2 linked regions of the Sus scrofa genome follow. The protein of the gene in region 2 purifies or fractionates together with the protein of the main gene of each other region. This does not show direct contact. Links are inferred from orthologs where the notes say so. Each region holds a gene or a part of one and is shown on either strand. Other genes may lie near its edges.

Evidence for each region. Proteins that work in one complex are often made in the same cells at the same time.
Region 1: the proteins of PPP1R7 (region 2) and SH2 domain-containing protein 4A-like purify together in Homo sapiens (affinity purification with mass spectrometry; 3 studies listed by BioGRID and IntAct, counting the BioPlex papers as one, with this or other methods). This does not show direct contact. The link is inferred for Sus scrofa from reciprocal best matches to the Homo sapiens genes PPP1R7 and SH2D4A.

What each region holds. Positions count from the first base shown.
Region 1 is NW_018084867.1:63,612-67,259, reverse strand, and holds part of SH2 domain-containing protein 4A-like, read left to right. Parts: intron 1-1,856; 5' UTR 1,857-2,050; coding exon 2,051-2,231; intron 2,232-3,648. UniProt on the Homo sapiens protein: Inhibits estrogen-induced cell proliferation by competing with PLCG for binding to ESR1, blocking the effect of estrogen on PLCG and repressing estrogen-induced proliferation. May play a role in T-cell development and function.
Region 2 is NC_010457.5:139,924,475-139,928,122, forward strand, and holds part of PPP1R7 (protein phosphatase 1 regulatory subunit 7), read left to right. Parts: coding exon 1-6; intron 7-629; coding exon 630-695; intron 696-1,210; coding exon 1,211-1,341; intron 1,342-1,650; coding exon 1,651-1,813; intron 1,814-2,801; coding exon 2,802-2,918; intron 2,919-3,648. UniProt on the Homo sapiens protein: Regulatory subunit of protein phosphatase 1.

The DNA of each region.
Region 1 (3,648 bases), on a different chromosome or scaffold from region 2:
TTTCTTACCACTTGAACTGGGAGGACCACGGTCAACTGAGCAGAGGAACTGCATTCTTCCTGCAGCTCTGTCATCTACAGACCAGGGCTCGGCCTCTGGAAACCTCTCCGTAGTGTGGATTTAGTTGATCCCACCCCTGGAGAAGGTGTGAGACCCCAAAGTCAAGAAGCCACCACAGGACATCAGCTCTGGCTGTGATAGCCTTTGTGGGTCACCTCAAAGCAAAACACAAAGCTAGCAAGATAGCTTGGGAGGGATGGCCATACCTGACTGAGTTAAAGTCAGACAGCACCTTTCATCCTTTAAATTTTCTCTTAATATTGTGTTCTGTTTGAGATCCAGTATTCGAATGCTGCCTCCAATAGGATGCAGTTAGCAGGAATCCTAGTAGCCTCAGCTAAGGTCCCTGCTACACAATGACTGGTTAGTGAATCTAACCACAGGCTGTGTATGCACACCACTCTGGGTACTTTGGCTGGTGATTACACTTGTCTCAAAAGAGTTGTGTAAGTGGAGAAACAGCTTTGCAAGGGGGACAGGGAGGAAAGGAAGGGGGAAAGGAGGAGGGAGAGAAGGGGCAGGGGAGGGAAAAGGGGGAGGGGGAGGGTAGGAAAAGAGGAGGAGGCAGGGGGAGGAGGAGAGGAAGCTGCAGGGAACTCCCAGGGGGTGGGAGGAGCACCCCAGTCTGGCTGGGGAATAACCAGTTGATGGAACTGGGAGGAGTCATGGTGTGGCTAAGTGACTGGTCTGAAGTTTAAGAGCCTTTGGACTTAGTTTGGAGAAACAAGATATTTGAGAAGGCGTGGTGAGATTATGGAGGCATTGTATGCAAAAAAAGATTAGTCAATTTCTTATACCATAGGCGATCCTGAAAAGTTGCAAGAAGTAAATTTTTTTGTGTGTATCCCATTGTATTGAAACAAAATAAGGGTCTTTTTTTTCCCCAGAATGGAAATCTATGCATTATTTCCTTCTGATGACAAAAATATGAAGGTTTGCTTTTTTTTAATAGACCAAATAGAAATGTATAAAGTAGAATGAAATTGCAGTGGAGTTGACACCCCTGTGTGTTCAGGTCCAAGGCGCCACCCTTTGAGAAACTCACTGTAGAGCTAGGACCCTTTGTGAGGAACCCAGTCACCTTGTCACTCCCCCAGTTTATCTGGTCTGTAGATTTAAATCTGGCTAAATTAGGTTATCAAGAAGAGGTACACCTAAAACCTGGTGACCTTCCAGAATGTACATGAATGTTCTCTCCTGCACCTGGTCTGTTCTCTTGATTCTAGCGAGTTGTCTGAATGTTGCATTGTCCTTTTGTGAAGATGAACGTACATAATGGTGTTTGTTTAGTGCTACTTTTAAAAGACAATGAGAAATTGCATTGTGGTCTAATTTTTATTCTTTTTCCTTTCTCAAGCCTAGCTCTGGCTTGGTTTGGGTTTGGGTGGGTCATTCTCCAAAATCTCAAAAATGGCATTTTCTTTTTAAATAAGTTGTTGGGAGAGAGCCTTTTAATTTCTTCCTGTGCCTTTGTCTCTTTAACTCTGTTCTTAGCCATGAACTTGGTGGTTTGTTGGGCTCTGAGGTAATAGTATGTTTGCTCAGTTGGGAGAAGGCCAAACGTCTGTTAATTTTTTTGTTTCCCTGAGACTGACCTGTAAAAAGTTATGATTTTTTTTTTGATAAAGTATCTTTGGAAATTACAAGATACAGGTTATACAAACAAAGCCTGCCTAAGCCTTCTCCTGAAATGAAAAGCAATACTGTATTTCCTCCAGGCTTTATTCCCAAGCCTGTCCTTGACCTGCATCTCTACCTTTTAACACTACCTGCATTTTGGCTATCTCTCTTTGCAGGTTCATGCACGGCATTTTGGACAGGATGCTTGGTGCCACGAACCCAGAGCCAGTTTGCTGAATTACTGTCCAGGCCCCTTGAGTCTCTGGGAAGGTCTGCAGGTGCCTCCAAGTGCCAGCTCAGGTCGAGTCAGCCCAGGAAGCTGTTTTCAAGGGCTTCTGCCACGGGTGTAAAAGACTCCAGCCCTGCAAAGATGCTGAAACAGATACTGTCCAAGATGTACATAGACCCTGATCTGCTGGCAGAGCTCAGCGAAGAACAGAAACAGATCCTGTTCTTCAAGATGAGGGAGGAGCAGGTCCGCCGATGGAAAGAAAGAGAAGAAGCAATGGAAAAAAAGGAGTCCTTGCCAGTGCAACCCAGGCCAAAGAAAGGTAAGCGGAGCTTGCCTCTCCTGTGAGCTGGCAAGTAGAATGTCCCCTTGCTTGTTTCCTCATTTCACACCAGCCAGAAGCAAGCCAGGCTCGAGGCCTAGTCTGGCAGGTGGACCCTGGGTGATACTGAGATTCTAATAGTGCAGTTTATCAACTTGAAGTCTCTCTCTCTCTCTCTCTCTCTCTCTCTCTCTCTCTCTCTCTCTCTCTCTCTCTCTCTCACACACACACACACACACACACAAACATGCCCAGACCACAATTACTGTGGAGTTCTGAGGCCAAAAGCAGATCTCTTATTTGAAACCAGACTGACCTTAAGCTGCGGGAAAAAGTCACCCAGGGAGGTGGACTTGAGAATGAAGGAAGGTTTCTATTCCCTTTTGGTCACAGACCAAAAGGATTTTGCTACCAGCCTAGAAGTCCTGTGTCAGCCTCTCAATGGTGTCTGCATGTCCTAGACTTTAAGAGATTTTTCTTTGAGTTATCTTTTCGAGGAGGCAGTTCCCTTTTAAAATGCAGATACTGCTAAGAGGAAAAAAGTTGTAATACGAATCTTATTTAGTGTGAGTTAATTTTTCAGATGTAGTTCTTCTTCCTGACCCAAGGAGTCCCAGGTAGTTTGAGAGGGCCTTTGGGGACCATCAGGAGGAATTCCTTGTACGTTAGGTTTAAAGCATATACACACACAGACATGGAATAGCACACATTGCACACACACACGCACACACACACACCCTGCCACCACACACACATTCTGTTATGGATGAATGCCTGTGTCGTTTATTTTATTTTTATTTTTATTTATTTTTATTTTTATTTATTTATTTATTTTTGTCTTTTTGCCTTTTCTAGGGCTGCTCCCGCGGCATATGGAGGTTCCCAGACTAGGGGTCTAATCAGAGCTGTAGATTATGCCAGAGCCACAGCAAGGTGGGATCTGAGCTGCATCTGTGACTTACACCACAGCTCACAGCAACACTGGATCCTTAACCCACTGAGCAAGACCAGGGATCCGACCCGCAACCTCATGGTTCCTAGTAGGATTCGTTAACCACTGTGCCATGATGGGAACTCTGTGTTGTTTATTTTTAAAAAAAGTTTTCAAGGTCACTTACAGAGAGGCATTCAGATCAATTTCTCTTCATTTTTCAGGAAGCCAGGAAAAACCGAATTTGATAAAACCGTTTGGGGTTTCAGAGAGTGTGAAAATGAATCCCACTTGTGTGCTGGTACCTACACAGACACAAAAAGGAAGTCCATTTAGTGACCTTTACCTTCTACTGCCTTTTTATTAGAACCTTTTTTTTTTCAATCAAACTTTATAGTGATATGGAAACAAATACAAATACCTCATTTATTATTATTATCAATATCAGCTATTTTTAAATACCTGTTTTGCAAAGCACTTTGACAT
Region 2 (3,648 bases):
GCAGAGGTAATGCTACCCGCTCAGCCCAGCCTCCGGGCATGGTGACAGCCCTCTGACCGTCAGGGTGTCTTTCGCAAAGGTGCCAGATTAGTAAGTGAGGTCCCTAGAAGCCCTCTGAGCCTCCCCCGGTGGCGTCAGCTTCCCTGGGTTCTTACTGGTGTGACCTCCAGTGGTCGACCTCACCTTTCCATTTAACCCTCGAGGGCCGGGGAGCAGTTGAAGCACCTGTGACTCATGGGTGTCCGATGACGACACTGTTCCTGGCGGGGTCCTGCATCCCCAGCATCGGAAGAGCACAGGGCATGGACTGTCCGGGGGCGGGGCGGGGGGAGCCAGCCTGCCTCCCCAGCCCGCAGCCGCCACCAGTGGTGACATGATGGGCGGCGTCTCCTCAGAGCCCGGGCAGGGAGGCAGCTCACCTCCCCTGGCGTGGAGGGCCGGTTCCCACGAGGCCACTGTGGCGCATAGCGAAGCCCAAGAGCATCTTGCAGCCCCTCCCGTGTCCCTGTCACCGGCCACCGCAGACCCCGTATGGCACTGGCTCTCGAGTCCTGCCCCAGCCCCCCTGTGGCTCCTGCTCCAGGAAGCACATCCTGCTGGCCGCCAAGCTCGGGTTTTCTTTGTTCCAGGATGTGGATTTGAATCACTACCGCATTGGGAAGATCGAAGGCTTTGAGGTGCTGCGGAAAGTGAAGGTGAGAGGAGCCCCTCCTTCCCCAGGAGGCGATCCTGTGACGCCCCAAAGTACGGCCCCCGAAGGCCCCGCGGAAACCAGGACAGAACTGGTTCTGCGCAAGCAACCGTCCTCGTGAAGGTGCCAGGCTGCCCCAGGCACTGCCAGCGGGCACCCCGTGTCCTGAGCGTGGCAGGGTTTCTGGAACAGTCCGGGAGGCGGGGACTCAGACCTGCTGCCGCCGCCTGCTGTGCCTCAGGTCGGGGCCTGCCTGCTGCTGAGCACACACACCAGGCGCTGGTCCTTAACGCTCTTGCACTCAATCTGTGTTTCAAAACTCGGCGCCCGGAGGCTTCTCTGCTGGGAAACCGCAGCGCCTCCCCACCGAGTGGGGCTGCCTCCGAGCACGGGCGGCGTCTGCCCGTCCTCTCCGAGAGCAGCACCTTTCCCGCCAAACGGGAAGGAAAGGCGGGCCCCCTGGCCTGGTCTCCGGGCCTCCCTGTTGCTTATGTCACCTGTCCCTTTCTGTCCCGCCAGACTCTCTGTCTTCGTCAGAATTTAATTAAATGCATTGAGAACCTGGAGGCGCTGCAGAGCCTTCGCGAGCTGGACCTTTACGACAACCAGATCCGGAAGATCGAGAACCTGGAGGCGCTGACGGAGCTGGAGTGAGTCAGGGGCCCAGGGCCCTGCGGGGGGTGGTCCGCATACCCTGCGCCCCCCTCAGCCTCGGGGGCCTGCCTGGCCCTCCGCTCCCTGGATGCGTCGGCTCTCCACTGCCTCAGCTTGAGTCGAGGCTTCCGGCTGGGATGACATGGTTTTTCCCTCAGCACTGTCCTGTGAGCCCGGGCAGCAGGCATCGGGGTCCCTGGAGGCCCCCCGGCTCCCCCTGCCTTCCTGGGCCGCCACGAGAGTCTGTTGGTTACCACCTGAGTCCGGGGCCTGTGCCCACTGCGAAACCTTTTGCCTGTTCCCAGGATTCTTGATATTTCCTTCAATCTGCTGAGAAGCATCGAAGGGGTCGACAAGTTGACGCGGTTGAAGAAACTCTTCCTGGTGAACAACAAGATAAATAAAATTGAGAACCTAAGCAGCCTACGTCAACTGCAGATGCTGGAGCTGGGATCCAACCGCATCCGGGTAGGTGCAGCGCCCTGGCGGCCGGTCCCTTCGCGAGGGCGGCCCTGCCTGGGCAGGGTGGGTGCGGGGTGCGCTTGGCTGGGTTTTTCACGAGAAGAAGCGCCGCCCAGAGGTCAGTGTTGATAAGAAAGCGGCCGGTGCAGGGTCCAGCCTTTCCTCTGCACGTGGACTTCACTCGCCCTCCACCCGCCTCGGGACAGAGCTCGCAGCAAAGCGCCCAGCCGCGCTCCGCCCAAGGCCCGTGCTCTGCTTCTGCGTGCGCCGCGCCTGGTTTTCTGCTGAGCCTCTGAGAGCCGAGTGCCAAGCACAGCCGGGGTGGCGGCCGTGACCCTGCCCCACGCCAGGGCCGCAGGATGGAGCCGGCTGCTCGCACACGGTGGCCGTCCTACTCGGACCCCTGTGCGCCCTGGGTCAGGCCCCGGGGCAGCCCTAGCTGATGCCCCAGCGTCTAGATCGGGCTCTGCCTGCCCTCTGAGGGGGACACTGGACAGAGTGGGGCTGCCAGGCCTGGGCAGACGGTCCGGGACATAGAAGCAGATGGAGTGGTCTGCCCGCTGATTCGGAGCCGCTGGGATGGGCCTGGGGGGGCGTCCTGGGGGCTCACAGGACTGTCGGCCCTGCGTCTGCCAGCTCCACCGGGAGGGGGCCTCTGCCTCTGCCGGCAGAAGGGAGCCCGTTTCAGGGAGCCCCGCGTAGAGGAACGAAACACGTGTCAGCTCAGAGTTGTAGAACCGGGGGGCGTGGGCGGCCCGCCGACTGTCCCCCGGAACCTGAGCTCTGTGAGGGAGCCCAAGGGGGAGGGCGCCCCCCGCCCCGGGCCTCTCTCCCTCACGCTGTCCCTTCACGCCAGGTGACCCTGGGCACCTTCCGCGGCCGGGGTGGGGCGTGCCTCGCCGACACCCAGGGCTGGGGTCCAGGGAGCGCTGTCCCCTCGCCCAGGGCCCTTCCTTCTCTGGTGCCTCACTGTGCCCCGTCCTGACTTTCACAGGCAATTGAAAATGTCGACACGTTAACTAACCTGGAGAGTCTGTTTTTGGGGAAAAACAAGATCACAAAACTTCAGAACCTCGACGCGCTCACCAACCTGACGGTGCTCAGCATGCAGGTAGGGCCCCCCCTTCCCCCCCGCTGGGCCTGCCGCACAGCCAGGCCCACATCCTTCCCCGGCTCCGTCTCGGAGAGCAGCACCCGCGCTGTCGGCGAGCAGTTCACAGCTGTAGTCGCACATGACACCCGCTGAACTAAAATTCCCTTCTCGAAGCGTCACCTTTTCCTAATAAAGGCCCTAGGCGGTTTTTAGCCAAGGGCGCCCTCAGAAGGTTGAGCTGCAGTTCCAGAGCCTTCGAAAGTGTTGGGCTCCACAGTGGAAGTGAGCCCCCCACGTCTGTGCAGAGGTTGTGCAGCCCGCGTTCGGGGTGGGCAGGCATCTGGAGGTGCAAACAGGTGGCACCAGACCTTGAGGCGGGTACGATGGGTGTTCTGGGGACAGGGCCCCGCCACATGGGCCCCACACACCACACGTGCCTGGGGTTCTGAAGACTCTCCCCGCCTTGGCTGCACCCACGGCAGGCCACAGTTCCCAGGCCAGGGATCGAACCCGCGCCACAGCAGTGACCCAAACCACTGCAGTGACAAGGTCGGATCCTTAACCTGCTGAGCCGTAAGAGAACTCCCCACAGACTTCTTTCAGGAGAGGCCACTGTGTGTTAATGTGGGCTCTAACGGGAATTTATTTTTAGAAAGTCTGCGATTTTGACTTTTTGAATGACTAAATTAAAGGAGGAAGACCTTCCCCAAGTTGACAAAAAAAGTGCACTCTTTGCATAAAAGGCTGG